Saccharomyces cerevisiae S288C: one gene and its partners. Changing the gene in region 1 together with any one later gene gives a genetic interaction. Each region holds a gene or a part of one and is shown in the gene's direction. Other genes may lie near its edges.

Evidence for each region.
Region 2: mutations in PFK2 (region 1) and SUT2 together harm fitness more than expected from each alone (negative genetic interaction), as found in Saccharomyces cerevisiae (2 studies listed by BioGRID).
Region 3: mutations in PFK2 (region 1) and ATP11 together harm fitness more than expected from each alone (negative genetic interaction), as found in Saccharomyces cerevisiae (2 studies listed by BioGRID).
Region 4: mutations in PFK2 (region 1) and COA4 together harm fitness more than expected from each alone (negative genetic interaction), as found in Saccharomyces cerevisiae (2 studies listed by BioGRID).

The regions. Positions count from the first base shown.
Region 1 is NC_001145.3:670,043-676,436, reverse strand, and holds PFK2 (6-phosphofructokinase subunit beta), read left to right. Parts: upstream 1-1,670; coding exon 1,671-4,550; downstream 4,551-6,394. Other genes in the region: YMR206W (uncharacterized protein), read right to left, coding at 1-541; INP1 (Inp1p), read left to right, coding at 5,112-6,374. UniProt on the Saccharomyces cerevisiae protein: Catalyzes the phosphorylation of D-fructose 6-phosphate to fructose 1,6-bisphosphate by ATP, the first committing step of glycolysis.
Region 2 is NC_001148.4:572,729-581,045, forward strand, and holds SUT2 (Sut2p), read left to right. Parts: upstream 1-3,823; coding exon 3,824-4,630; downstream 4,631-8,317. Other genes in the region: HAA1 (Haa1p), read left to right, coding at 290-2,374; DNA-directed RNA polymerase I core subunit RPA135, read right to left, coding at 4,857-8,317. UniProt on the Saccharomyces cerevisiae protein: Putative transcription factor involved in the regulation of the activity of the cAMP/protein kinase A pathway. Involved in sterol uptake.
Region 3 is NC_001146.8:40,463-49,046, reverse strand, and holds ATP11 (Atp11p), read left to right. Parts: upstream 1-4,766; coding exon 4,767-5,723; downstream 5,724-8,584. Other genes in the region: RFA2 (Rfa2p), read right to left, coding at 1-645, 754-760; tetratricopeptide repeat-containing protein EMW1, read left to right, coding at 1,025-3,739; DAL82 (Dal82p), read right to left, coding at 3,833-4,600; prephenate dehydratase PHA2, read left to right, coding at 5,972-6,976; cleavage polyadenylation factor subunit PFS2, read right to left, coding at 7,031-8,428.
Region 4 is NC_001144.5:570,435-578,291, reverse strand, and holds COA4 (Coa4p), read left to right. Parts: upstream 1-4,373; coding exon 4,374-4,826; downstream 4,827-7,857. Other genes in the region: CCC1 (Ccc1p), read right to left, coding at 499-1,467; MSC3 (Msc3p), read right to left, coding at 1,955-4,141; peptidylprolyl isomerase CPR6, read left to right, coding at 5,081-6,196; cell proliferation protein CDC123, read left to right, coding at 6,434-7,516; FRE1 (ferric/cupric-chelate reductase), read right to left, coding at 7,665-7,857. UniProt on the Saccharomyces cerevisiae protein: Involved in cytochrome c oxidase assembly or stability.

The DNA.
Region 1 (6,394 bases):
GTAAATACTTGACTCTCTGGTCTGAATCCGCAGCGTACGAGGCGATCCTTTGAATGTCCTTCGTGGGCTGTACAAAGTTTTTTGTTGTTACCTTCTGTTGCTGCTGGCGGTGATGCAAGGAGGGAATATGAGAATCGCTGAACCTTCTTGCTATGAACTGATGGTTGTTGTTGCTAGGCGACAGGTTATGTACACACTGATAAAGGTCGTAAATGTTCATAGAATTAGACAGCCTCTGTTGTCTTTTAGACATGAAGTCCCCGAACAGGTCTGTATTACAAGCCCCCTCGTTATGTAACTTCTCTCTTGGTGAGCACGATTCCGAAAATTCAGAGTCGTTATCGTTGATATTGAGCACCGTTTTAATGAACTCATGTTTCTTATTAGGAGTGGGAGATCTGTTACTCTCCAGAAAATAGTCGTCATGATGGCCACCACTTCCGGCACCGCTTCTCATATCCTCCCCCTCTTCCTCCTGAATAGCCTTGTAATGGATGGTTAGATGGGCAGATATGGGTCTATTGCTACTGCTACTCAGCATGGTTATATTCTGTTGTCTTCTTTACTTTAAGGCGAAAGGTCAGACAATATGCATATATATATATAGTCTTCGAATGCACGGCAAAAATGATATGAAGAGCTATGCTACAGTATATACTTCTTTGTTATTGCAATCAACGTGAGCCTTAACCAATGAGGAAGTAAGAAGGAAATAAGAAGTAAGACATAAAATAAAACTACAAAAAAGAAAGAAGATCCGCAAAAACCCAAGAACAGCATTGTAAGTACTACCATCTATATAGATCGAATATCCTACTAATATATAGTAACTGCCACACGAAAAACTGTGGGTGTAAAGACTATTCATAGCCATTCTCTGCTGCTTTGTTGCATCGTATCATCGCCCGTTTCAGCCAGTCCCGCATACCCCCTTTGCAACGTTAACGTTACCGCTAGCGTTTACCATCTCCACGCTAAAAGGAAAACGAAGATTAAGATAAAGTTGGGTAAAATCCGGGGTAAGAGGCAAGGGGGTAGAGAAAAAAAAACCGGAGTCATTATATACGATACCGTCCAGGGTAAGACAGTGATTTCTAGCTTCCACTTTTTTCAATTTCTTTTTTTCGTTCCAAATGGCGTCCACCCGTACATCCGGAATCTGACGGCACAAGAGCCGATTAGTGGAAGCCACGGTTACGTGATTGCGGTTTTTTTTTCCTACGTATAACGCTATGACGGTAGTTGAATGTTAAAAACGAAAACAGAGATATTGAATTGATCAATTTGATCAGTACGTATGTAATCTTTTGTTTGCCATGTTAAATCGGCCTTTTTTTCCATCCGGTCTTTATCTACCATTCATTTATTACATCGCAATGAAGTCTCTCGCTTCATGTTGTTGTTTTTTTTCCTGCCTTTTTTTTATCCGCTCTCATTCTTATTTTTCCTACTTGCATTTTATAAAACAATAATATTTTTTTCTTCTTTTTGTCCTTTATTTATTACTTCCTTGATTAAAAGCTTCTTATCTTCGGTTTCATAAAGAAGAAAATTCCTTTTTTTTTTTTTTTTTCCTTCTTCTTGCTTAAAAGCCTTTCTTATACCTCATTTGAACAATAGAACTAGATTTAGAGACTAGTTTAGCATTGGCCAAGAACTAACCATACGCAATGACTGTTACTACTCCTTTTGTGAATGGTACTTCTTATTGTACCGTCACTGCATATTCCGTTCAATCTTATAAAGCTGCCATAGATTTTTACACCAAGTTTTTGTCATTAGAAAACCGCTCTTCTCCAGATGAAAACTCCACTTTATTGTCTAACGATTCCATCTCTTTGAAGATCCTTCTACGTCCTGATGAAAAAATCAATAAAAATGTTGAGGCTCATTTGAAGGAATTGAACAGTATTACCAAGACTCAAGACTGGAGATCACATGCCACCCAATCCTTGGTATTTAACACTTCCGACATCTTGGCAGTCAAGGACACTCTAAATGCTATGAACGCTCCTCTTCAAGGCTACCCAACAGAACTATTTCCAATGCAGTTGTACACTTTGGACCCATTAGGTAACGTTGTTGGTGTTACTTCTACTAAGAACGCAGTTTCAACCAAGCCAACTCCACCACCAGCACCAGAAGCTTCTGCTGAGTCTGGTCTTTCCTCTAAAGTTCACTCTTACACTGATTTGGCTTACCGTATGAAAACCACCGACACCTATCCATCTCTGCCAAAGCCATTGAACAGGCCTCAAAAGGCAATTGCCGTCATGACTTCCGGTGGTGATGCTCCAGGTATGAACTCTAACGTTAGAGCCATCGTGCGTTCCGCTATCTTCAAAGGTTGTCGTGCCTTTGTTGTCATGGAAGGTTATGAAGGTTTGGTTCGTGGTGGTCCAGAATACATCAAGGAATTCCACTGGGAAGACGTCCGTGGTTGGTCTGCTGAAGGTGGTACCAACATTGGTACTGCCCGTTGTATGGAATTCAAGAAGCGCGAAGGTAGATTATTGGGTGCCCAACATTTGATTGAGGCCGGTGTCGATGCTTTGATCGTTTGTGGTGGTGACGGTTCTTTGACTGGTGCTGATCTGTTTAGATCAGAATGGCCTTCTTTGATCGAGGAATTGTTGAAAACAAACAGAATTTCCAACGAACAATACGAAAGAATGAAGCATTTGAATATTTGCGGTACTGTCGGTTCTATTGATAACGATATGTCCACCACGGATGCTACTATTGGTGCTTACTCTGCCTTGGACAGAATCTGTAAGGCCATCGATTACGTTGAAGCCACTGCCAACTCTCACTCAAGAGCTTTCGTTGTTGAAGTTATGGGTAGAAACTGTGGTTGGTTAGCTTTATTAGCTGGTATCGCCACTTCCGCTGACTATATCTTTATTCCAGAGAAGCCAGCCACTTCCAGCGAATGGCAAGATCAAATGTGTGACATTGTCTCCAAGCACAGATCAAGGGGTAAGAGAACCACCATTGTTGTTGTTGCAGAAGGTGCTATCGCTGCTGACTTGACCCCAATTTCTCCAAGCGACGTCCACAAAGTTCTAGTTGACAGATTAGGTTTGGATACAAGAATTACTACCTTAGGTCACGTTCAAAGAGGTGGTACTGCTGTTGCTTACGACCGTATCTTGGCTACTTTACAAGGTCTTGAGGCCGTTAATGCCGTTTTGGAATCCACTCCAGACACCCCATCACCATTGATTGCTGTTAACGAAAACAAAATTGTTCGTAAACCATTAATGGAATCCGTCAAGTTGACCAAAGCAGTTGCAGAAGCCATTCAAGCTAAGGATTTCAAGAGAGCTATGTCTTTAAGAGACACTGAGTTCATTGAACATTTAAACAATTTCATGGCTATCAACTCTGCTGACCACAACGAACCAAAGCTACCAAAGGACAAGAGACTGAAGATTGCCATTGTTAATGTCGGTGCTCCAGCTGGTGGTATCAACTCTGCCGTCTACTCGATGGCTACTTACTGTATGTCCCAAGGTCACAGACCATACGCTATCTACAATGGTTGGTCTGGTTTGGCAAGACATGAAAGTGTTCGTTCTTTGAACTGGAAGGATATGTTGGGTTGGCAATCCCGTGGTGGTTCTGAAATCGGTACTAACAGAGTCACTCCAGAAGAAGCAGATCTAGGTATGATTGCTTACTATTTCCAAAAGTACGAATTTGATGGTTTGATCATCGTTGGTGGTTTCGAAGCTTTTGAATCTTTACATCAATTAGAGAGAGCAAGAGAAAGTTATCCAGCTTTCAGAATCCCAATGGTCTTGATACCAGCTACTTTGTCTAACAATGTTCCAGGTACTGAATACTCTTTGGGTTCTGATACCGCTTTGAATGCTCTAATGGAATACTGTGATGTTGTTAAACAATCCGCTTCTTCAACCAGAGGTAGAGCCTTCGTTGTCGATTGTCAAGGTGGTAACTCAGGCTATTTGGCCACTTACGCTTCTTTGGCTGTTGGTGCTCAAGTCTCTTATGTCCCAGAAGAAGGTATTTCTTTGGAGCAATTGTCCGAGGATATTGAATACTTAGCTCAATCTTTTGAAAAGGCAGAAGGTAGAGGTAGATTTGGTAAATTGATTTTGAAGAGTACAAACGCTTCTAAGGCTTTATCAGCCACTAAATTGGCTGAAGTTATTACTGCTGAAGCCGATGGCAGATTTGACGCTAAGCCAGCTTATCCAGGTCATGTACAACAAGGTGGTTTGCCATCTCCAATTGATAGAACAAGAGCCACTAGAATGGCCATTAAAGCTGTCGGCTTCATCAAAGACAACCAAGCTGCCATTGCTGAAGCTCGTGCTGCCGAAGAAAACTTCAACGCTGATGACAAGACCATTTCTGACACTGCTGCTGTCGTTGGTGTTAAGGGTTCACATGTCGTTTACAACTCCATTAGACAATTGTATGACTATGAAACTGAAGTTTCCATGAGAATGCCAAAGGTCATTCACTGGCAAGCTACCAGACTCATTGCTGACCATTTGGTTGGAAGAAAGAGAGTTGATTAAAAGAAAATGACCTTTTATTACACTTTCTATTATTAATGTCAATTAATGTTAACCCATGTTTTTCTTTTGTGTCTATAATTCTTTTTTTTTATCTCTAAGCTTTTGAACAATGAATTTTTTGTTCCTTTCTTTTAATAATACAAGTACTACCCCATGAAACCAATATTATCATGCATTTTTATGAATGTCAAGAATAAAGATACTGTTATTTTTTGTGTCTTATTTTTTTTCTCTTTGTTTATTTAAACGTTTTCTAAAATTAAAACTTATGTATACTGGAATATGTGATATAGACGATTTAAAAGATAATTCCAATAAACGTCCCTCGGATCTCATATTTATAAAGGTACCCTTTTAATACAATATTTATACATGTGCGTTAAATACTTTGTTCTCTTATTATCTATGAACTTATCACGAAGAACGGAGATGTAAACAAAAAGAGTGAATGAACTATGAACTTTAAATTACCTTATTACGGAGGAAGTATTCCTTCACCTATGAAGGATACAAGGTCTACATTTTTCGTCTGATAACTCTCAGGAAATTAAACAAAGTGGTATGGTTTTATCAAGGGGAGAAACAAAGAAAAATAGCGTGAGATTAACGGCAAAACAAGAAAAGAAACCTCAATCTACGTTTCAAACTTTAAAACAGTCACTTAAACTTAGCAACAATAAAAAGTTGAAACAGGATTCGACCCAACACTCAAACGATACAAATAAATCTGTTAAAGCCAAAAAAAATGGCACGTCCTCGAAGAAAACCGGAACACAAAGGAAAAGAATATCAACTCAGAGATTTTCATTGTTTACCTATGGCAATGTTCAGGTTATGAATTCATTCGTTCCCATTCATAATGATATTCCGAATAGCAGTTGCATTCGTAGAAATTCCCAAGTATCCGCAAATAATGTCACTGAAAGTAGTGGAGTATTCTTCAATGATACGCAAAGTCAAGACAGTCAAAACACTATTAAGTTAAAACCTACATCTTTAATGGCAAAAGGACCTATTGAAATATATCAGATATGTACAGGGTTTGATAAGTTAAAGGAAAATATAGCGCCCTTTCAAAAATCTAGTAAAGCTAGTAGTCATGATGGGCATGTAGTAAACTATTTATCGATAGGACGACATGGTGATATTGTGCATCCAGTACTACCCAAACTACAAATAACAAGGCTAAATGGCGCAGGTTTCAAATACTTTATTAGCTTTTATAATCCGGAACGGTACTGGGAAATCGAATTTCTACCTTTGATTAGTCAATCCCAATCAGAGTTGGAAAATAGTGTGAAAGCTTTTGAAAACGTCATTAGCAAAATTTGCCAATTTTCGCATATTAATGAAGGAGCTACTATTGGGAATAATGAGTCTTTGAGCGATAAATTCAAACTGCCGCCTACTTCGGACATAGAGCCCCCCAATACTGAAATAATTAATAATGATGATGATAACGATGATGATGATGATAATTATGATGATGACGACCTTAATTACTTGCTGGATGAAGAATACGAACAAGGATGTACAGATAATAGCTTCTCCGTGATATCGAACACTTGCTCTAATCTAAATGCAAGCTTTCTCTATCCGAGCGACCCTACCGATGCCGTGTCAATCTCCATAAATGAAGCTTTCAAAAATGCTATCAGACGAACCGCTCCTGTACTGAATATTCCAATAGCAGCCCCAAGTATTCATTCGAAACAGCAAAACAAAAGATATAGTTCATACCCTTTTATCGACTCTCCCCCGTATCTGCAGGACAGGCATAGAAGATTTCAGAGGAGATCCATATCTGGTCTTGGCGACCTTTGAATGAAGTTCAAAGCATAACT
Region 2 (8,317 bases), on another chromosome or scaffold:
AAGAAAAAAAAAAGGGATAACAGCACCAGCACTTGATTGAAAACTAGAAAGTTCACGTTTTATAAGTCCTTTCCGTTCTCTTTATCAGTTATAATAAAAGAGCCAAGACAAAACGTGGCAGGGAAGCTTTTCCAAGGAAAAGAGGGTTGTAATATTAAACAAAAACCGTAATCAAGCAAAATAAGACCCCGTGGTTTTTTATCATAGGAAAAGAGTTCTCTGTTGTCACTCTACCATATTTGACAAGAAAAAGGAAACAAAAGTATAGAAAAAAAAAACCTAAAAAATAATGGTCTTGATAAATGGCATAAAGTATGCCTGTGAGAGGTGCATAAGAGGCCATAGAGTAACAACATGCAATCATACAGATCAACCGCTTATGATGATCAAACCCAAAGGTAGACCTTCCACTACATGCGACTATTGTAAACAACTTCGAAAAAACAAGAATGCAAATCCTGAAGGTGTTTGCACGTGTGGCCGGCTAGAGAAGAAAAAACTGGCACAGAAAGCCAAAGAAGAAGCAAGAGCTAAAGCCAAAGAAAAACAAAGAAAACAGTGTACCTGCGGGACTGATGAGGTTTGCAAATATCATGCTCAAAAGAGACATCTAAGAAAGTCCCCTTCAAGTTCTCAAAAGAAAGGAAGATCCATTTCTCGTTCTCAACCAATGTTTGAAAGGGTATTGTCTTCTACTTCACTTGACAGCAATATGTTATCCGGCCACGGAGCACTATCAGATACCTCTAGCATACTGACGAGCACATTTTTAGACAGTGAGCCGGGTGTTGGTAAAATTTCAAAAGATTACCATCATGTCCCTTCATTGGCCTCCATTTCATCCTTACAATCCTCGCAATCGTTAGATCAAAATTTCAGTATACCACAAAGCCCGCCGTTATCTTCAATGTCATTTAATTTTCTCACGGGAAATATCAATGAAACCAACCAAAATCACAGTAATCATCAGCATTCAAAATCAGGCAATAACTGGCAAGATAGTTCGGTAAGCTTGCCAGCGAAAGCTGATTCACGTCTTAACATGATGGATAAAAACAACTCTGTGGGTCTTGACCTATTAGGCCATTCAAAACGAATATCGCCGATATCAAACTCTCGTGTGGGCGAAGTTAGCGTTCCGCTAGAAGAATATATTCCTTCTGACATTGATGGGGTTGGAAGAGTTACTGATAAAAGCTCTTTGGTCTACGATTGGCCATTTGATGAAAGTATTGAGAGAAATTTCAGTACAACCGCAACCGCTGCAACTGGTGAAAGTAAGTTCGACATTAACGACAACTGTAATAGAATTAATAGCAAAAGTTATAGTAAGACTAATAGTATGAATGGAAACGGTATGAACAATAGCAATAATAATAATATCAACAGTAATGGCAACGACAAGAACAATAACAACTCTTCTAGACAAGAACATCAAGGAAATGGACTATTTGACATGTTTACAGATTCATCGTCGATTTCAACGCTTTCCCGTGCAAACTTATTATTGCAAGAAAAAATTGGTTCGCAAGAAAACTCTGTCAAACAAGAAAACTATTCGAAAAATCCTCAACTTCGTCATCAATTAACTTCCAGAAGTAGATCATTTATTCATCATCCGGCAAACGAGTATTTGAAGAATACTTTTGGAAATTCACATAGTAATGACATCGGAAAGGGAGTTGAAGTGCTATCTTTGACACCGAGTTTTATGGATATTCCCGAAAAAGAAAGAGAAACGGAAAGATCGCCATCATCCAATTACATTACTGACAGACCTTTCACTCGAAAACCTAGATCTTCTAGCATTGACGTAAACCATAGGTATCCACCTATGGCACCAACAACCGTAGCGACATCTCCCGGTGCATTGAACAATGCCGTAGCAAGCAATCTCGACGATCAACTGAGTTTAACATCACTAAACTCTCAGCCATCATCGATAGCAAATATGATGATGGACCCTTCAAACCTAGCTGAGCAAAGTTCTATTCATTCAGTTCCTCAGTCAATAAACTCTCCGAGAATGCCTAAAACTGGAAGTCGCCAAGACAAGAACATTCACACTAAGAAGGAAGAAAGAAATCCGCTAAATAACATACACGATCTGTCACAATTGGAAAATGTACCAGACGAGATGAACCAAATGTTCTCCCCACCATTAAAAAGTATGAATAGACCGGATGCCATAAGGGAAAATTCATCTAGTAGTAATTTCATAATCCAAGGAAATAGCATGATCTCTACGCCTTCCGGAAGGAATGACCTTCCAGATACCTCTCCAATGAGTAGTATTCAAACAGCGTCACCACCAAGTCAATTACTGACCGATCAAGGATTTGCGGATTTGGATAATTTCATGTCTTCGTTATGATAAATTTGCTTTTCGTCTCTTGCTTCTCTGTAACTGTAGTTTTCCTCCTCCCACATATATATATATATATACACTTTTATACACCTAATAATATCATCGGCATTATGATTGCTTATACATTTTCATAATCAATATTACTGTTCACCATTTGAATCACTGCAGAAATATGCACTGCGCCTTCTTTTTCTTTGCCTGAAGCACCCACACACAAGAACAGGAATGTGAATGGCCTCCCCATCTCACTTTTACTTAATAGTATTCTGACAATATAAGGTATCAGAGAGTAAGACCATTATTAGGCAAACAATAATCTTCAGAATTTTTAGTAGCGCATTCTCAACCTTTCTAGGTGCGTTTTTCTAATGAAATAGTATCGTTTTCCTTCCGCATTCCTTGCGTAGTTTGTTGTGTAAATATAGCAATAAGAAACCCTATAAATCATTATGATGTAACTCCCGATTCTTTTAAATAATTACATAAACTAGGAAGGCAAGTCCGAACACGCAGAGATGAGGTATTTGCACTCAATGACAAATCTAGGTTTAAACTACGGGGCTCCATACCTTATCTCTTCACTTATCAAAAGTAGGCAAAAGAAAAGAAAATAAATATAATTTCTTTTTCTGCAGGCAAGATTTTAAAAGAACTTGCGCGTCCTCTGTGCAATCTACCTGGGGAGTCTCGGGCTTTAACCGCTCCCCATTCTAAACTGCTTCCATTGACGTGTACTATACTGCTCACTTCTTGCTCTTCGAGCAACAAAATCTGTATTACGTTTCTTACACTAGTCGAGTGAAAGAGATAAGATACCCACTTTTACTTGCCGGGAGAATGGAAAAGAGAAAACGGAAGAAAGGGCTTAAATACATTTTCCTTTAATATGAACATCCTACTGTAAGATAAAAATTGGATGCTGATAATGGAAAGGAGACATGTACGGTATGTACGGCAAAACCTCGGCGGGTTTTCGCCGCTAGCTCATATATTCTTTCGTTAAATTTTAAAATTTCTTATTCTAAATCTTCTTTACATGTTTGGAAAGAATTTATTGGAGAGAAAAATCTAGACCTGCCAAGCCGATAAACGAATGCCTGCGAAGAAATAGTGTAAATATTACTCCTGAAGGTAGAGTCATCTAGGCGGAGACGAAAACAAAGTTTAGCTTTTCGTGAAATTGCCCATTTCATGTTTATCAACCACCAAAGGTTAAATGGAGGTTTGACAAAAGAAATTTTCTTGCTAAAGGTTAGCATTTTTTTTGGAATTTTTTTTCCTTCGACTGGCTGTAGTTGTCCTTCTATATTACGTACAACAAAAACTTTCTTGAATGAAGAATTAGTTCTATCATATAGACCATAAGAAAGAAAACGCACTTGGATAATTTTTAACAAAGAAGAGGGCAAACTGACGCTCACCAAGCTATTGGTTTGTTTGGATCAATCGTCAGATATGAAGCCGAACAATCGAACTTGTGATGTAATTACCAACAAAGATGAATCTCTTCCTGCACTTTTGCTGCCTGCACTGAACAGTTACACCTGTGACGATTCATTGCTAAAAGGACAAATTTCAAGCAATGGCAGATATCAACCATTCGGGTTTTCTGATTGCTCTTTACTGCCAAAGCGTTTAAACATTCAGGCAGGGCAAGGATCTATGCCAGTTTCTTCGATTCAATGTGCAGACCACAGTTATAGTAATTGGCAAAAAGAATCCGAAAAGACTAAGCTTCCCAAGCTTGGTTGCCCAACAGAGTACACTGAATACTATAAAACTGTTTCTTCCGGCGAAACAACCGATTCAGCGGTTGTTTCATCTATAGCAACGAACAGACTCAAAAGAAAACGTCAGAGGGACGGCCCAAGTTGTGACTCTTGTAGGATAAAGAAAATAAAATGCAATGCAACAATCATTATCTTTTTACAGGATAGGAACCTAATTTCATCAATTTCTTCAAATTTGCATTATACACTTTCCCAAGACGACATAAACCAGTTTCGAATGAAGTTTTTCAGGAAACTGCCTGACGTGATGGGCACATATGAAGTCATAAAACACCTTGATAAAATAGTCCTTTTCAAAGCCTGCACCTCTTGCAGTAGAAGAAACCAAAAAAATGGAAAGTGTCTTTTTTCGAGAGGATTTACAAAATCTGATATGAACGTATTTCCCAAGATAAATAGTAAACTTAAAGACAAAAGTATCTTCGAGATGACTGTCGATGATTATGTTGCCGCTGGCTTCCAAACCCTTTAGGTTTCATGCATGTAATTTCCTCCTATGTAAAATATAGGAATATTAATAAAACGCACCAATAATAAGTTAGATATTTTTCTGCAAGATATAAATTTGTTTACTCATACATATATATTCTATTGCGGGGCGCTCTTGTATAAGTAATTCAATAAAAAACCTCTATATGATACAATTGACCAAGCCTTCATTTACCATTCTATATCAATTTGGAAAGAAGGGTATTTCTCTATTTGGGCTCTACATTATAACGCAATCTTATACCCATTGCGGATAGCTCAGAGTCCAAGTACTTCAACACAAATGGTATGGCCACCGTAGTTGTTTCATTACCACCAACAAATTTGTTACCTTGTCCATCTTCCCAAATTTGAGAGTCGTCAATAAAAATTTTCTCTCCATCTTCTGATTTAGTCAATAGCTTCTTTGCATCTTCGAATCTCATGGAACAACGACGGCAACAAACGGTGGAAATCGAACCAATTCTTGGCACACTCTGTTGCGTGGTCAAAATAGAACCACACTCGCGACATACGGATGCCTGTGTGTAGTCTGATGAATTTAGCAGACGATCTTGTAATAGAAAAGATGTACCATGCCCAATCAAAGCATCTCTTTCCATTTCACCGACACGAATACCACCATGTCTCTTTCTACCTTTGACAGGCTGCATAGTCAAACTATTCACAGGACCAGTGGAACGAACTTGGAACTTGTCATTGACCATATGACGTAATCTTTGGTAGTAGACAACACCAACATAAATATCTGCCCTTAATTCTTCACCAGTAGCACCTGAGTACATTGGCTCATTACCATGGTAGTTGTAACCCGCCTTCGCTAGTTGCTCACCAAAGTAATCGGCTGGGGTATCGTCCTCGTTAAAGATCCAAGGTGTAGAGTCCTGTGCAATACCATGCAATGCCCCCGCTTTACCTGCTAAAGATTCGACGAACATACCAATGGTCATACGCGAAGGGAAAGCATGAGGGTTAATGATGATGTCTGGTTGGATACCTGTTTCGCTAAAAGGCATATCAATGGTTGGCCATTTTCTTGAACAAACACCTTTTTGACCGTGTCTAGAAGAAAATTTATCACCAATTTGAGGCGTTCTTCTAATACGATATTTTATGCTAACAGTTTGTAGTTCTTGGAACTTATTGGATTCATCACCGATTAAATTTACCTCTTCGATATATGCTGGTTCAGAGGAGTGATATGTCTTGATTTTGGTCTTATTTAAAGTATCGTCAAAGTATGCGCAGATTGGATCACCCTCTTCAACATAAGTGCCAATGTATGGCAAACCATCCTCGTCTAATTTCTCAAGCCACTCCTTTGGCCATTCGTCATTCCCGAAACCAAAATGCTGTGTAATTGGGTCACCACGGTTTCTGTTAAGTGCTAAATCCACTTTCTCAGTCTTATACATAGTACCATAACCGAAACCTCTTTCATCTGCTGATTTGTTTATAATCATTGCATCATCCATATCATAACCAGTATACGAGATGACCGCAACAACAGCATTAAACCCGTTTGGAAAGTTATCCATGCCATAATCATCATATAAATTAGCTTTTACGATAGGCGTTTGACCTGTTTGCAACCTATACAGCTTATTGTCGGAACGATGGCACAAAGCTACACCCGGAGTACCCATTGTTTGTTTACCCATCTGACATTGATACATGTTTCTTGGAGACTGGTTGAAATCAGAAAATGGAGTCAAATTAGCCAAAATAGAAAGAATATTTGTGGGCGTAAATTCTACGTGTGTATGAACGTTATTTTGAATTTCTTGAGGAGTGACAGCAATGTTCATGTACACTTGCTCAAAAGGTCCAACAATGTCTTCTTTATCCAAAGGCAGGTAACGAACAGGACGCAGCATCCTAGAATGACCACCAAATAGGTAGAGACCTGGATATTGACCACGAGTTGAGGGAGGAACATATCCAATTTCTAGATCAATCGGTAACCCAGGCGTCTTGCCTTCAACTTTCCAATATCTCAATGTATCCGCAATGATCTTACCTTGTTCATGAGAGACCCAGCCAATAATTTTACCATCAATTTGAACACAACACAGAGAAGGACCAGCAGCAAAGGTGTGAGATGCCGGAGCAACACCAAGTGAGTATAATATAGAAGGAATTCTTGAGACGTCAGATTGCTGAGTTGATATACGACACTTGTGCGCAAAATGGTTTAATAAACCACAAGGAGAACCATCTGGTGTATGAACAGGGCACAGGAATCCCCACGACTCAGGTAGCAACTTTCTGACTGTGGTAGTTTTCAATTGCGCAAAAAAGGAGCCTCTATGAACCATTCTAAAATGAGAGATAAAACGGTAGAAGTTAATTTTTTCTGCAACCACAGTATAACCAGAAACTTGTTGTAAATCTAACCCAGACTGGGACACCAGGTTACCAGTTGATAAAAAGTATTGCATTTTGGAACCAATGTTTTCATTAACCCTCATTAAAACTCTTGACATGTACCTTTTGTCTTTGAAATTAATGGCCATACCACGGTTAATATCCATCCTGACTTGAGCAATAATATTCTGTAAGTACTCATCAATCTTTTCTTTTAGGATCATACCATATAAGAAACCACCCAAAAGAACTTCTTGATGTTGCGTAGCATCTGGGTTATCTGGAGAACATTCGCCTGCAACCAAGGAATACAACTTTCTGATCATGAACAATAACATTCTGAATTTATCCTGGCTGCCATCCTTACCCAAATGCACGAGAACGATGCGATCAAGGACTTCTTGTCCGACTTCTAAATCAGATTGATCAGGGGAAGCTTGAAAGACAACACGAAATTTGTCTCCTAAATATTGCAAGACTTGTGTGCGATTTTGTAAATGAGGATATCTTTTCTTAAAACCACGTAACAGTAATTCTAAACGATCGGTCAAAAAGGAATCCTTAACGTCATTACCAATAATACCATCAAAAATTTCCCTATCGCTGGTATGACACAAGGCTTTTAAAATCATAACAACAGGAACTAAATATTCATTTTTTCTCCAAGAAAATCTAAATGTAACTTGACCGTCATTTAAGTAATGCAAAACATTAGTTTGGGAAGTTTGATCCGGCCTGACAGATCTAATTTGAATACCGTAATGAGAATAGGATGCACCCCTGTTAGCGAAGGAAGGTCTGATGATAGCCATAGGATGATTTCTACGTTGCACAATCAGCATTCTAATAAGCTTTTCTATACCGTTAACAATGAAATAACCACCTATTTCATCGGATTCTTCCTTGTGTTGTACCAGTTCATATGGTGACATCTTGTTCAAGTGACATCTGTTACTCTGTAGCATAACTGGTAGACCACCACAATCTCTTACTTCAAATAAGTTCTCCTCGCCATTGTTCACGGACCACTTCAACTTTAAAAGTAATTTACCTCTGTAAGAAGTAAGCCTTTGTCTTGACTCACTTGGGTAAACTTTTCTCTCTACTGCAGAAGAAACACCATCGTTAGACATTGGCTTCGCAATAGACACTTGTTCCACACTAACAGAAAGCTTATTCCCGAGGTATCCGCTGTTGGATATTTCGTCTTCAGAATTGAGTGGTTTTCCATCAAATATAACTTTTTCACCGATGTCTTTAACACCAAGATTTAACAAACCTCCATCCGGACCTTCTGTTAATG
Region 3 (8,584 bases), on another chromosome or scaffold:
AAAATTCTAGAATTCTTTGTAACGGACTGGAGCCGGAAGATGTATCGTTATCATCCTTGACAAATAATGATTGCCCATTGTTGTTGGATGCACTCTCCAAAGGTTGTTTCATCATTCCACTGGCTATGGAATGACATTTGATGACTTCCAAGTGATGCGTCAACACTTCATTGAATGAATCTATGGGCTTAATCACCGCATACTGTATATTTTTCTTACCACCAAACTCTTTCAAAGCACCAAAAACTTTTACGTAACCGCCAATTTCAAATTGTTGGGCGACTTGCGAACCATAACCTTTACCAGAAGAGTCATCGTTACCGGCAGCCAAGTCATTTGCATCTTCGCTCCATTTTCTCACTTCTATTTGACCAGTTCCATCCTCAATAGTTAAAAAAATATTTGCAGTATGGTCTGTAATGTTTCTCACCACACCTACAAAACAAACGTGATGAAGTTCTTGGTTATGCGAAACGAAGGGGCCGTCCTGAATATCCTGTTTGGACTCTAGAATTTGTTTGATCGTCACAGGTGTCAAGGTGTTAACTCTAGTGTTAGTTTCCGACTCCCCACTACCTGGGCGGGACTCAGAGTTCTCAAAGCCACCGCCCGTTACTGATGAATATTCGTTATATGGTTGATAGGCTGTATTGGAATCCCATCCATTGTTAGTAATTTTAACATTCGCCAATAAAAATAAAAAAAATGATGCAGAAAAGAGCAAATCCTCCAATTCCTAGCACTAATACATACTTGCCATTATGTATATGCTTAAACTAGCCTGTTCTAGATAGTCGCTATCGATTTTGCCACATTACTTCCACCTTAAGTTGATATAATATTGCTTATTATAAAGGAAAGAACGCGTTTCCTAACGCGTTTCGTATATGGCGATAATTATCTAAGAAACTTCGCATCGTGAAAAAAAAGATGAAAATTGAAAATGGAAGCTCATCGAGGCCAAAGGAATTGCTAAAAAGAAGCTATCAGACCAGGCAAAAAGTAAACTAGTGGTTGCAAAATTATGGAGACGTTATTGCATGCAAAATTATTGCTGTCTGCAGAAGTAGAATCTCTGAAAAGTGGTTCTTTCGACCAGACATATGTGAAAAAGGCTGAACATATCATCAGTGGTGAATCATACCAGCTAGTACAGCAATTTGTGGACAAATTTAAGGGAAAAATTAGTATTTCGGGAGAAATATCCACATCTAGTGTTATTGCTGCTCTAAATGACTTTCTTAACGTTGAGGTTTTCAAAATGGGCCAAGAAAATGAGATGCTATTTTTGGCTATTGCCCTCTTACAGACCTTTATTCAAAATAACTACACCGGCCCAGCAGCTAGGTTGAAAGCAATCTCAGGTTTGTTTGGCAAAACTGGAATTGAAATAGGAGCAGTTAATACAGCCCTTTCCCGCTCATTAGCCATTATGGGCCAGCCTGCCTACGAATTTATGGATGATCCATTGTATTTGGTTTTATCACTATTATTACTTGAAAGGATAACCGGCCAAAAAAGCTTATTTGATGTTACCCCGGATCAAGAAATTCCGCTACCTATTATCTCTGCTGAGTCTACTCCTGGATTATTAGCTGTAGCTTATTGGTGGTGGGCAAGAGCTCTTTTGACGCAATTGTCACTGATTCCAGAACCTTCTGGGTTCCAAGCTAGTGTTGCATCTGCAATATATCAGTCTGCTGACCTTGCATATGCGATAACTAAGGAATTACCGGAGAGTATTCACGAAGATTTCAAAAGAGAACTTTGTGCAATGTACTATCTAGAGAATGTCAAATGTTCATTGGCCATCAACACAGAACATTTGTGCCTGCCATCCTTGACCAGAGCGAAAAAGATAACAAATTTTGAATTTGTAATGACGGGTGCACGCGCTACTAGAACTAAATATCAGCAAAAGGCTCATGCCGGTTTGATCATTCTTGCCAAATCCTTCACATTTCAAAATTTTGCTTTGAGAACGACATCTGCTACACCAGAAACATTTGCTTTAGAGTCCGATCTATTATTGGAGAAGCCTCATTTTGAGTCCATTGCTGATGAACCTCTAGACGAGCAAATTTATAGTAAAAGACAAAAGGTAGACCTAAATGAAGGTTATGAAGAAGATAAACTATTGCCATTGGCACTACGTCAAGAAAATATTCCAAAGTTGTTGCTGGATTTGAACCCTAACGATCAACCTACCCTATCTGATTACGACAACATCCAGTTGCTGTTACGTCTTTACACCATAAAGAACACAACTCCGGCCAAGGATCCTCTTGTGGAAGAAGAACTTACTGCTTTGCTTTCTAGAATATTATATCAAAACGGTGACAAAAATTGGTCTATTTTCGCCCGATCATTATGGGAAAGGTCAATTATTGAGACAACAAAGGCTAAAACTATTGAAAGAGGACTTTTACAAATGCAATCCCTCGTAGAAGAATTGGATTTGAAGATTAAGAGTAAATTGGTTCCAAGTTCAAGCGAAATCAATGTTGCTAGCAGGCTGTCATACATCCACCAGCTGCCGTTCATCCCTAGGTGGCAATTGGATGCCACCTTAGCTGAAAAATATATGTCGCTGGGTATTTTGAAGTCCGCTGTGGAAATTTATGAAAGACTTGGTATGGCATGCGAGACTGCATTATGTTATGCCGCTGTTGGAGATGAAAAAAAGGCAGAAGAAATCCTTCTTCAAAGAATAAATGAAAATGATTCGGATGCCAGGGCTTACTCCATTTTGGGTGATATAAAACAGGATCCATCCCTATGGGAAAAAAGTTGGGAGATTGGAAAATACGTCAACGCAAAAAATTCCCTTGCAAAGTATTACTTTAATCCTCCTCCAAAGTCTGGAGCACAACCAAATTACTCTGCTACCTTGAAACATTTAAATGACTCGTTAAGGCAATACCCATTAAGCTTTGAAACGTGGTATTTTTATGGTTGCGTTGGATTACAATGTGGTAAAATGCAGATAGCTGCGGAGGCATTTACCAGATGTGTTTCATTAGACCCTTATCATGCTCTTTCATGGTCAAATTTGAGCGCTGCATATACGAAAATGGATAAATTGAAAGAAGCTTATAGTTGTTTGAAAAGAGCCATTTCATGTGACGCTCAAAAGAACTGGAAAATTTGGGAGAATTACATGCTTGTTGCTGTTAAGTTGAATGAGTGGGAGGATGTCTTAACTGCATGTAAACAATTAGTCAGTATTAGGAGGGACAAATCTGGCGAAGGTTCCATCGACTTACCAATTATTGAAAAACTAGTAGAACTATTAGTGACTAGTGAATATCCAGAGGAGCCGCAGCAATTATCTTATTTTCAAAAGAGCTGTACTGAGTTTATCTGTAACACTTTACCTCAGGTAATTACAACCAGTGCAAGATGTTGGCGACTGGTCGCAAGAGTAGAACTTTGGAGGAAGAGACCATGGGCCGCCCTAGAATGCCACGAGAAGGCTTATAGGGCCATTTCTCACAATCCTGATTTAGAAGTTGAAGAAAAGGTTTGGAATGATACAGTGGATGCTTGTGAAGATTTGGTGGCTGCCTATGAATCACTTGGTGAAATGGAAGGTAAATATGGGCCAGGCAGTCTGGTTTGCAAAGACTGGAAATACAAATGTAGATCTACTATCAAAGCTCTAATGAGTAAAGGCAAAGGCAGATGGGATGACTCTCCTGGTTGGGATAGGCTAGTGGAAGCAAGAAGCCAAATATGAAGAGCACCTTTCATGTATAATCTGTGTATATTACGTAATGTTTGTATAAATAGATACATATGGACATGAATCAAGCATATCTAATAGAAGTTTTTATATTTTATCTCCTTGGCTGGGTGGTCTCATCTGTGAAAGGAGAGCCTCAATTATGTTGAGCTTGTTTAAAACTTTACACTCAAAATCTTCTTGCCTTTTCTTTATCACCTCGAGTTCGTTGTGAAGATAATCTAGACATATTTCCAATTCCATATTAGAGTCCGACCACGATTGCTCAGCAGCCATTTGTGGAGGCAGTACTGTCTCGCTGAACCTATTTGTACCCTTGTTTATCTTAGGGCTTTTGATGACTTTCCCGACGTCGTTATCCTTAGACAGAATCATGGGGATTGTGTGAAGAGTAGGCGGAATTCCAATCGTTATTGAATCCAGGGGCAGCGGTTGTGAGCCTGAATGCTCATCGTCGGAGCTGTGGTTATTCGGATGTTCAGCGGATGATAATTGTTGAAACGGATCAGGCCCCGGATGACTTTTAATGAAAGAAGATGATGATAAGGATGAAGATGATTCATTTCCGAATTTAGTTCTTGGTCTTGGATGTTCTGGTGCTTCGTCCAAGAGTGCTCCCATCAGCTTCAACTGGGAAGGAGAGAATTGGGCTCGATCTGCGCTGAAGAGGTCCTTCAGTCGACGAAATTTGGTTTTTAACGTCCTTGATTGTCTATATCTTGACCCAGTCTGTCTGTTGTACTCATCGAGCACCCTTTGCCAGCTATCTTGTCTGTAGGCATATGGTTTCAGATGAGGTTTGTGCCGTATCAGTAGTCGTAGAAGCAGCTCCACAGGATCCACCGATTCATCCATTATGGTTGGCTCCGCCTAAACCTTTCAAAGTATCGTTAAACCATGTTGTTATCAATGGTTCAACTCACCCGAATGGAAATAACGCTTATTTTGACGCCGTAATCGAAGGATGTGAAGAACTTATCAAGACTTGAAAATAGAGAACAAAAGAGATTTAAGAATAACTATGTGGAGACTAACCAGAAAAATCGGCACTAGAATCCATATTTCTAATCAGCTGTCGCCCATTTTTAACAAGGCAATTGGAACAGTTCCTGTTTTTCGTTTTTATTCTTCCAGCCCAGAGCAGAAGTATAGAAAGAAACTTTTGGAAGAGGCTCAAAAACAAGGTTTTAACAGCATAGAAGAGTTGAAAAATCATTTGAAAGAGACTATAGAGTCTAAGAAGCGGGAATTTAATAAAATCGACCCCCTGAAAGAACTAGAGGATTACCAACAAAAAACTCAAATGGAAAATAACAACTCCAAGCATTTGATGACGAAATCAAGAAGTCCTCTCGATCCAAGTGCTCCTAAAGTTCCCTTCAAAACATTGGACTCTTTTTTGGATGTTGGAAAACTGAAGGACTTATCGAAACAGGAAGTAGAGTTTCTTTGGAGAGCAAGATGGGCACAAAAAGATAATACATTATGCGCTGTGATTCCTGTCTCCGTTTATGATAAGATGATGGCAAATGCCAGGAATAACCCTATATTCGTGTTGCCACTTCCTAGACAAGTTCAATCTGAGGATGCAAAACCGAACGAAGAACAGGGAATGGAACTACACTACATCCAATGGCAGTTTGTCGGACCCCAAACAACACATTGTATGATGACTTCCCTAGCAGAATACAAACTACACCAGGAATTTGCAAGGCCACATACTACCTTGCAGTTCCATTCTGATTTGGTCAAGGATAAGGGAATTGTTTTTATGAATGGCCATGTTGAACCGGATACAAACGTGAATGTACAGGATGCACAGCTGTTATTGCTAAACGTGCAAAGGTTTTATGGTGCAATGGGTGAAGAAACTCCAGTTGCTAAACAGAGAGTGCAGTTGTTAAGAGATTTCTCTAAGGCCTCTCCGGGATTCACCGTCGAGAAATTGATTTCGCTATCACAGTCCATGGAAAATTAACGAAGAATTACTTCCGTATACGTATATATATATATATATATATATTAATGACACCTGTAAATAAAATACGTACTACATCATCTGCGACAAGCGTACAGTTTCTTTACACAGTTATCAGCATGACTCTTGTATTTTCATAATGAAAAATGAAAATAAAAATTTTAGTAGATGAATATAATACGCAGAAAGAACAGGCTAAAAAAGTACGAAAAGCAACTTCATTATATTTCCGCATTCATCCTTCAATTATGGCCAGCAAGACTTTGAGGGTTCTTTTTCTGGGTCCCAAAGGTACGTATTCCCATCAAGCTGCATTACAACAATTTCAATCAACATCTGATGTTGAGTACCTCCCAGCAGCCTCTATCCCCCAATGTTTTAACCAATTGGAGAACGACACTAGTATAGATTATTCAGTGGTACCGTTGGAAAATTCCACCAATGGACAAGTAGTTTTTTCCTATGATCTCTTGCGTGATAGGATGATCAAAAAAGCCCTATCCTTACCTGCTCCAGCAGATACTAATAGAATTACACCAGATATAGAAGTTATAGCGGAGCAATATGTACCCATTACCCATTGTCTAATCAGCCCAATCCAACTACCAAATGGTATTGCATCCCTTGGAAATTTTGAAGAAGTCATAATACACTCACATCCGCAAGTATGGGGCCAGGTTGAATGTTACTTAAGGTCCATGGCAGAAAAATTTCCGCAGGTCACCTTTATAAGATTGGATTGTTCTTCCACATCTGAATCAGTGAACCAATGCATTCGGTCATCAACGGCCGATTGCGACAACATTCTGCATTTAGCCATTGCTAGTGAAACAGCTGCCCAATTGCATAAGGCGTACATCATTGAACATTCGATAAATGATAAGCTAGGAAATACAACAAGATTTTTAGTATTGAAGAGAAGGGAGAACGCAGGCGACAATGAAGTAGAAGACACTGGATTACTACGGGTTAACCTACTCACCTTTACTACTCGTCAAGATGACCCTGGTTCTTTGGTAGATGTTTTGAACATACTAAAAATCCATTCACTCAACATGTGTTCTATAAACTCTAGACCATTCCATTTGGACGAACATGATAGAAACTGGCGATATTTATTTTTCATTGAATATTACACCGAGAAGAATACCCCAAAGAATAAAGAAAAATTCTATGAAGATATCAGCGACAAAAGTAAACAGTGGTGCCTGTGGGGTACATTCCCCAGAAATGAGAGATATTATCACAAATAATATGTTATATAGTCTTTTTATTTATGTATCCTAAAATCTCGTCAAAGCGCACTTTTATATGCTTAAACCTGGCAATGTGGAACTCTTGATGTTTGAATCGATGCCTGGGATTTCTTGACGCGGTTTCTTGTTGATGAATCCATTCATGTTTGGTAACGCATGTGGTTCAAGTGTAGCTGGTGGTGGCGGGGCCGCACCGAATTCACTCTTCTCTCTCACAGCATTGATGTCGTTATTGATGCCAAAAAACCATCCATTTATCTTCTTATTGTTATAAGTTGGATCATCATATGCATTAGGATCAATTGGCCTCGCTCTAGTCCAAAATCTTATGGTTCTATCCTTAGCTGCTGTGGCAAATATATGTCCTACTGGATTATATGATAACGAGGTGATACACTTATCATGGGCGTATGGAATAGTCAAAATAGGTTCGTTTAGATTTTGTAAAAGATCAAAATGCTTTAGCGAGCCGTCATAGCACGCCAGAGTGAACATAGATTCATTTATTGGGTGCCATTCTAGTGTCATATAATCCGTTTCATCTCTTACACACATTAGTTCCTTCATACTGTATCTAATGTCGAACACACGACACGATTTATCTTTTGAAATCGCCATTAATAGATTTCCCTTGGTGGGTTGAAATCGCGTCTTCAAGACAGTATGTTTGAACTTCAGAATTGATGATATGCAGTTTCCGGAACGCGGATCCCACAGTTTTACTAAATTGTCCTTAGATGCGGAGGCAATTAACCCCATCTCGGGATGCCAATCACAACTTTTCACGTCCCAGTGGTGCCCCGATAATACTCTTTCTTGTTTGCCATTGCTGAAGTTCCAAATCTTCAAGATATTATCATCTGAACAGGTAACAAATTTCGAGTCGTTACTACTGAATGCCATATCCCTAATACTTTCCGTGTGTGCAGCATCAATTTCTTTAACCATACTAAAGTTTGGTTGCCATATCTTAATCATTCCATCTGCGTCCCCACTAATCATCCAATCACTGTCGTGAGAATATTTCATTGTAGTCACAGCCGAATCATGTGCTTGCATGAGGGTTTCAAACGTAAACGAAGATGCGTTCCATAGAGAAAATTCTCCGCTATAAGTTGCTACTACAAGTCTTCTGCCTTCTGGGGTCCATTGGATGGCGGGTATCACATGTTTCACTTTATTCGAGCTTAAATGCGTAAATTTGCTGGGCAAATTTATGACTCGATCTCGACCTCTGTAGGCATTAGGCGGCATTATATCTATTGTGTATGAAGTTTCTGGCTCTACCACTAGGTTCGGTAATCCATGTCGTCTGTTGTAATATAGGTTAATATACGGAGAACTCACGTCTACCGATCGTCTCTGTGTCACATATTTCTTCAGAGGTGGTTGTTGTGACTGCTGAATTTGATTCTGATTCTGGTACTGGTTCTGATTATGCCCGTCCATAACGTGTCTATGTTGAGCTTCTTAATATCTACCCAGCAACCTGTATATCAGTGCTTTCTTTAATTATACTTCCCTTGACAAATCGATACGTCGGCCCTCAAAAGAAGAGGAAAAAAAATAGAAAAAAAAATAGAAAATAAAAATGTCAGTAATTCT
Region 4 (7,857 bases), on another chromosome or scaffold:
AATTATTTAGATAATTCTTCGATTTTTAATGAAGAGCGGTCCTGATCCAAGTTGTGCTTCATATGGTATAAAGCTGATTCCAGTATACTGCACGAGAAGTATATGTATGTATTTTGTAATTTATATAAAGGCAAAAAAAAGAAAAACACTTGGGCATAATGGAGGAGAAGATCTTATGACCTGATAGTCAAAGAGAAAAAGAAAAAAGCAGAAGGAGCAAAGAAAGGCGGCGACCAAATGACGAATTAGATCCAATGAAAAACGATTCAATGCGAATAAAGGTTATCATGGATCACCTGATGGGCCTCTTGGCAATAGAAAAAGAAACTAGTTTGAAATTCATTAATATAAATAAATTTAAAGAGGAGAATATAGAAACAAATTAAAACGTAAAAGAAATGTATGTCGAGAAAATCCAGCCCAGTTCCAAGTATATAGCAAAGCTTCTCAATCCCAAATTTCTTTACAATAAATATGTATAGTGTTGTTACTTTACACTTAACCCAGTAACTTAACAAAGAACCAAGCCGCACCTGCTGCTACACCACCCACAACAACCATTTCAACACCTTCCGTAACTTTCTTTGAAGTCGAACTGCCACTACCCATGGATAGTTTTGTCTTTACGTAACCAAACCAGAATAATGTTACAACCATGACTATTATAGAATAAATGAGACCTGTGCCCACATCTGAGACAAAAAAATATGGCACTAGTGGTACTAGCCCACCAAGTAGATAACCGCCACCGATAGTGACTGCACTGATTAGTTCTCTATTCTCGGCAGGTTCGTCTAGACCCCTACCGTACCTGATAATGAAGTCAACCATTAGCTCAGGTGTTCTTTGTAAATCTTTGATGAACGAAACGATTGTTTCGTCCGAGAAATTAGGGTTAATCTCTAACAGAATGTCTTCAATTTCTCTGTTAATTAGGTTGGAGTTATCGTAAAATTTCCTTTTCTCCTTCTTTACTTCAGCATGATAATAATCAGATTCACTCTTCGCTCCCAAATAGCCACCAAGGCCCATAGAAATCGCACCTGAGATCAACTCAGCAAAGCCACCGGTAATGACCAATTTCGCATCACCAAGTGAAGATAGACCAGCTGTTAGAGCAAAGGGGACGGTTAAACCGTCGCTTAGCCCGATAATCAAATCGCTAATTACGCGAGGATCTACTGATTGGAAGAACCCTAGGTTCGCCTTTTCGTTATCCGAACCGTTATCGCCATTCCTATTATCTTTCCCTACTGACATCGGTGAGTTTTCTAGATCCTGCGCTGAATTTCTACCATAGATAATATCCGAGCTAGATGAGGATAAGTTATCATGCCTTGAACTATTGCTATTACTACCCCTCAACAAGGGAGTTGATTCAGACCCCCCCAACTCTGAGGTTCCACCACTACCTTTCGCTTTCTGTATAAGGGTCACCACTGCGTTCTTTAGTGCTACAATGGACATAATATTTGTGTGCACGAGATATGGGAGGACAAAAAAAAAGTTTCTTTGTTCAATATACCAATAAAAAAAAAGAGTCTAAAGGCTTCGTTCTGTTATATTTCTATTCTATAAACCTAAAAAAAGCAAAAATTGAGAGTGATGTCGCTTTAACTTGATTATTTGAACTATTTTGTTTTGTATCAATTTTTCATATATAATCTTAATTTTACATCTTCATTGTGAGACATTCGGGCTAACAAAGAAAACAAAAAATGCGGGTCACGAAAGGGGTACCGAGCCAATGAGAAGAGGGTATGTTAGTAATATTAGTGAGAAATGCGGCGCGATTGGTCCAGACCGAAAAAAATCAATATTATTAAACTGTAAAAGTTATATTAAAAATTAAGTTACATTAGTAATTGAAGTTCACAAGAAGAAAAAGAAGAGAATAAATCTAAAACCAGGCTTCAAAAATTAGGGTTGATTGCAAAATTCGAGTAAACAACTGCTAACGGCTGCTTTTTTTCTTGAACAGTTTAGTGAAGAAACTGGACTTCTTGTGCTTCGTGGGAGGATCTTGTGTTTGAGCCTGTATTGTCTTAGTGGCATGTGTCGAAGTGACCATTGTTGGCTCAGCGGCAGATAATTCATTCGTCGATGATGTTGTTGGATCCGTGGCGTCTTCCTGACGCTGAGGGGTTTGGTCCTGTAAAAGCGAAGAAGAAGACTTTAGATTATCCTGCAGTTCCGGTGATCTTGTTCTCGTTGTTGAAGCTACTGCGGAGGTAGGTACATTGCCCTGACTTTGCCCATTCGAGGACGCAGTAGTCGAGTCTATTTGTTGTTGAAGGGGTGAAGGTGAATCTGTAACTACTGGATTCGTCATCACACCTTCGTTTGAAGATGGCTTTGCGGTTGTCACACCTTCCGAAATAGACGCTGCTGGGAAGCTTTCTTCAGCATTACGAGTAACTGGAGTTTGTTCGCCTTGTTCCTTCTTGTGCTGGTAGCCGTAGTTTTCTTGAGAGAATTGCAGCACTTTATCGAACATGGTTTTGAACTTATTTTTGGAAGAACCAGTTGTTTTTGTCTTCTGCAATGGAATGGGCTCGTATTCATGCACTTCGCTTTGGACTGGAATTTCAGAATCCCCTAAATAGTGCTGCTCATTGGGCGGGATGCTCCCAGTGGATCCCAGATGGCTAACGCCGACCTGACGAGGTTTAGCCGCCGTAGTGCTATTATCGACTGCTTCAGGTTGAATACCATGTGAGTTGTAATACCTCGCTTGTGCGATTTTCAAAGCTTGGTCATACATTTCTTTATCTGTTAGCCCTGTGTTTGCACTTTTAGGCTCTGGAACTGGGTCAACAGCCTTATTCGATTTAAAATGTGTAGACACAGAGTGATTGTGCACTTCATGGGGGGCGCTTTTAGTATTTCTGCTGAAGAAGGAACTTGTAAATCTTTTTGGTTGAACCTCGACATTAGATTTGACAAGATTAGCAGTCGCCGTCGGAGAATCACTACTGCTTCTCAAGGTCATTTTTTGACCCATCCTACTTTTCCTGGATTTGTTACTCCCGAGGGGGGCCGATGCGTTATCCGAAGCAGCATCCGTGTGATAAACGTTTCTTTTAGCAACCTCTAGTGCCTTCAGATACATTTCTGCTTCGGTTAATGGTTTCTTGGCCTCTGCTTCTGCGTTTTTCACGGCAGGCGGTCTTTTCTTCCTTCTTGTCGTCGATGCTTGCTTCCTTTTATTATGAATATATTTACTACTGGTCTGATGGGTGGGAGGAATATAATCTAATGCGTCACTGAAGTTTGATAAACTACTTTCTTCTTCTAGAGGCATAACGTCTGTAGAATACTTATGGTGGAAATATGATCCAAGTGGGAAATCTGGTTTTTCCACGTTTAGCTCTGAATCATCTTGTAAATGACTTTCGCTTACTGGGGAATATGGCTTTTCGTTATCTGTTTCGTTTTCCTCGATTATATCGTGAATGTTATCACTAGCTTGTTCCTCTAAAATGTCGTCATCTTGCAACATGTAATTTTCACTAAATTCATCGAAATGACGCTGCGAGTCACCTAATGGAACCAAATTCTTAGTCGTAGTCGTGGTTTCTACGTATTCATACCCATTTATTTTTCTTATTGTCTTTTTGGTAATTGATTGAGTCCTTCCTGAAGGGTCTGTTACTTGTGTAGTCTTTACGGTAATGGAGTTGGCCCTTGAATCGTTATTGTTGCCGGCCGTCGATTTGTTCTTACCGTAGTTTCTTCTGACATTCGCACCAGACGTCATAGAATTCATACGGCTCCCATTAGTAGTATAACCGGGCGGGTGTAAATGGTACTCTCCGCTCCTTTGCGACCTCAACGAGTAAGTCTTCTGTGAATACTGCTTAGCTGCTGCCCTGGACGTTGGCGGAGCGGCAGAGGATGTGGAAAGCCTTCTTCCTGGGCTCTTTACCGAACTTCTTTGTCTCGGTATTGAAGGTGCATGACTAACCAGCGAGTGCGACCTTGAGTAATTGGTTCGATCCGGTGATGCGGCAGAAGCAGCAGAGGCAGCAGCAGCAGAGAGCTGAGGACTTTTGTTATAATCTTCATGGTTCTGATAGTAGTAATCATACCTAGATAAATCAGGTACCCTCCTGTCCCTCTTTGTAAAACCAAATACCATTTTCAACTTTCTTGATCAACAGAATGTCTTTGTTTGTTTATTCTAGTGAAAAAATAGAAGTAAAAAGCAATCAATATAAGCAACGTGAAACGATCGAAGGAAACTAAAAGAGGTTTGATGTTAGAAGAATTGATTAACACCAAATCAAGCAATTTATTGAAGTATGGGTCCCTGATGTTTGTCCTTCTCGTTCTTGCTTTCCCTCCCCTCTTCTCATCCATTCGCTTCATTTATGCTTTTATTTTCTTCTTTTTTTTCTCACAACAAATGTCCGAAACAAAAAAAGGGGCCTCAGCCATTAAAGGTAGTGAAAGGCACTTCTAAGAGTTGCGCCAAACAAGGGAAGATTAAAGGGAAAGAAAAGCTCTGGCAGGCTAAAACTGGCAGACTGGTCATGAGTGAAACTGGCGAAACTTCAGAGTATTATAAGCAGGCGCTGGAAGAATACAAAGAGGTCCAAGAAGACGAAGACCCGGATGTGTGGGACACGAGAATATCCAAGACCGGATGCTACGTAGAGAACCTCGCATTACAGCTGTGCCATGCCGAAACAGGTGACTGGAGGCAGTGCTTCAACGAGATGGCGTTATTTAGGAAGTGTTGGGAAAAGAATGGTAATAGAGAGCGCGTAAGCACAGTGGACGTGGATGGGACGACCAGTAAGGATTCGGAAAAGAAGAAATGAAAATCTAAATGTCGTGATGTATAACTTGTATATAATAGACAGCTGCAGTGATCGAAACACATTGTTTCCCTTTATAGAACATAACTGTTACGCTTTTGAACGGCATTTCTATGAGCTTCTAGAATATTTTTCCGCCCTAGCTGGAGAAAGTTCAGACAGAAAATTATTTAAATAAGTCGAATATCAGAGGTGCTGATGCGCTCACATCACATAGAAAACTGGTAAGACAATATTCAGGCGATCAAGGAGTAAAAATGACTAGACCTAAAACTTTTTTTGATATTTCTATTGGAGGTAAACCCCAAGGCCGTATAGTTTTTGAGTTGTACAATGACATAGTGCCTAAAACGGCTGAAAATTTTTTGAAGTTGTGTGAAGGAAATGCTGGTATGGCAAAGACTAAACCTGATGTACCATTGTCGTACAAGGGTTCCATTTTCCACAGAGTGATCAAAGACTTCATGTGTCAATTTGGTGATTTTACCAATTTTAATGGTACTGGCGGTGAGAGCATATACGATGAAAAATTCGAGGATGAAAATTTCACTGTTAAACATGATAAACCATTCCTTCTATCCATGGCCAACGCCGGTCCAAATACCAATGGATCTCAAGCTTTCATAACCTGTGTTCCTACACCTCATTTGGACGGGAAGCACGTTGTGTTTGGTGAAGTGATTCAAGGTAAAAGAATTGTTCGTTTGATTGAAAACCAACAATGTGACCAAGAAAACAACAAGCCATTGCGTGATGTAAAGATTGATGACTGTGGCGTGTTACCTGACGATTATCAAGTGCCAGAGAATGCCGAAGCTACACCAACAGATGAGTACGGCGATAATTATGAAGATGTTTTAAAACAAGACGAAAAAGTTGACTTGAAGAATTTCGACACCGTCTTGAAAGCTATCGAAACGGTAAAGAACATTGGTACTGAACAGTTCAAGAAACAGAACTATTCCGTGGCTTTAGAAAAATATGTCAAATGTGATAAATTCTTGAAAGAGTATTTCCCAGAAGATTTGGAGAAGGAACAAATTGAAAAAATCAATCAATTGAAAGTGTCTATTCCATTGAATATTGCCATCTGTGCTCTTAAATTAAAAGATTACAAGCAAGTATTAGTAGCCTCATCGGAGGTGTTATATGCCGAAGCGGCTGACGAAAAAGCCAAGGCCAAAGCTTTGTACCGTCGTGGCCTGGCCTATTACCATGTTAATGACACAGATATGGCTCTCAATGACCTAGAAATGGCCACTACTTTCCAGCCAAATGACGCTGCCATTTTGAAAGCTATTCATAATACTAAATTAAAAAGAAAGCAACAAAACGAAAAAGCTAAAAAGTCTCTTTCGAAGATGTTCTCCTGATTACTTGCATTATATATATGCTTATATGTTTAAATACTAAACAGTTGCGCTGCCTCAGTAGTTAAGTAAAAAGTACGTAGAAAACTCTGTTAAAAAAATTATTTTTTCAGGCATAATAAGCGGATATTTTCCGATGTCCATTTATGCAGTGGGAAGATTAAGAAGCTAATGATACCGTAACTCCACCAGTGAAACTAAAACGTGCGTCCAAAAAGCGCTGACATAAATTACTTATTGATGTCCTCACAAGAATATACAACTTTTATAGATATACCAGTGACAAGAGCGCAGGTTGAACACTGTTCTTACTCGTTTTGGTCCTCACTGTATCCCAAATATGTGCCAAAATCCATAGTGTTAAAATCCTTACCGAAAAAATTTATTCAATATTTGGAACAAGACGGTATCAAGCTACCCCAAGAGGAAAACTCCAGGTCTGTGTACACCGAGGAAATAATAAGAAATGAAGATAATGACTATAGTGATTGGGAGGACGATGAGGATACCGCCACCGAATTTGTCCAAGAAGTTGAGCCATTGATAGATTTTCCAGAATTACACCAGAAATTAAAGGATGCTTTGAACGAATTAGGTGCAGTGGCTCCCAAGTTAAACTGGTCTGCACCAAGAGACGCTACCTGGATTTTGCCGAATAACACTATGAAGTGTAACGAGGTAAATGAGCTTTACCTATTGTTGAACGCATCCAATTACATAATGCATGACCTTCAAAGAGCATTTAAAGGCTGCGTGGACGGGGATGATATAAAAGGATTGAAATTTGACTTGGTACTTAGACAATGGTGTGATATGAATCCGGCACTCGAATTTAGGGTCTTCGTTAAGAATGCGCATATCGTTGGGGCCACCCAGCGTGATTTAAATTATTATGACTATTTAGATGAGTTGTCAGATACCTTCAAGGACCTTATTGATGAAATAGTTCATGATGTCGTCCTGCCCAAGTTTCCTGATAAAAGTTTCGTTCTTGACGTTTATATTCCAAGACCTTTCAATAAAATCTTCATTGTTGATATAAATCCGTTTGCCAGGAAGACAGATTCTTTGCTATTTTCATGGAACGAGATTGCTGCGATAGCACCTCCGAAGAATGATGTTGAAGATTATGAATTAAGGTTAGTGACGAGGCATAACACGGGGAGATTCGCTTCAAAAGAGCACTCCGAAAATCATGTTCCACAGGATCTCGTAGAAGCTAGTTTAAATCCTGAAGCAATCCGAGAGCTCACTCAAAAATGGAAAGAACTACTCTCTCAACAGGCAAAGGAAGAAAGCAGTGATAGTGAGAATGAAACTTAGATTTAGAACCCGCATTTGAATATATTCGTCTTTTTATTACCCTGTTGTATGATTATATAAAATTATTTACATCGATTTATATTAACTTTTATCCGATAAAGCAACAAAATAACAAAAGTATGCGTGCAAGAATTATTAACAAGGGGCCTTACCATGTAAAACTTTCTTCTTCTAGTTCAACGTCAATCTTCAAGGAAGAGTCTATACCTTGGACCACTGCATTTCTAAAATCGTCGTTAAACGTTGCTGGCCCGCAGGAATAAAAGGTAATATTATTATTCTCTAGTTCTGAGAGTTTTATTTCCGAGCGCACTAGTTCTTTCAAATCAGGTCTTTTATTG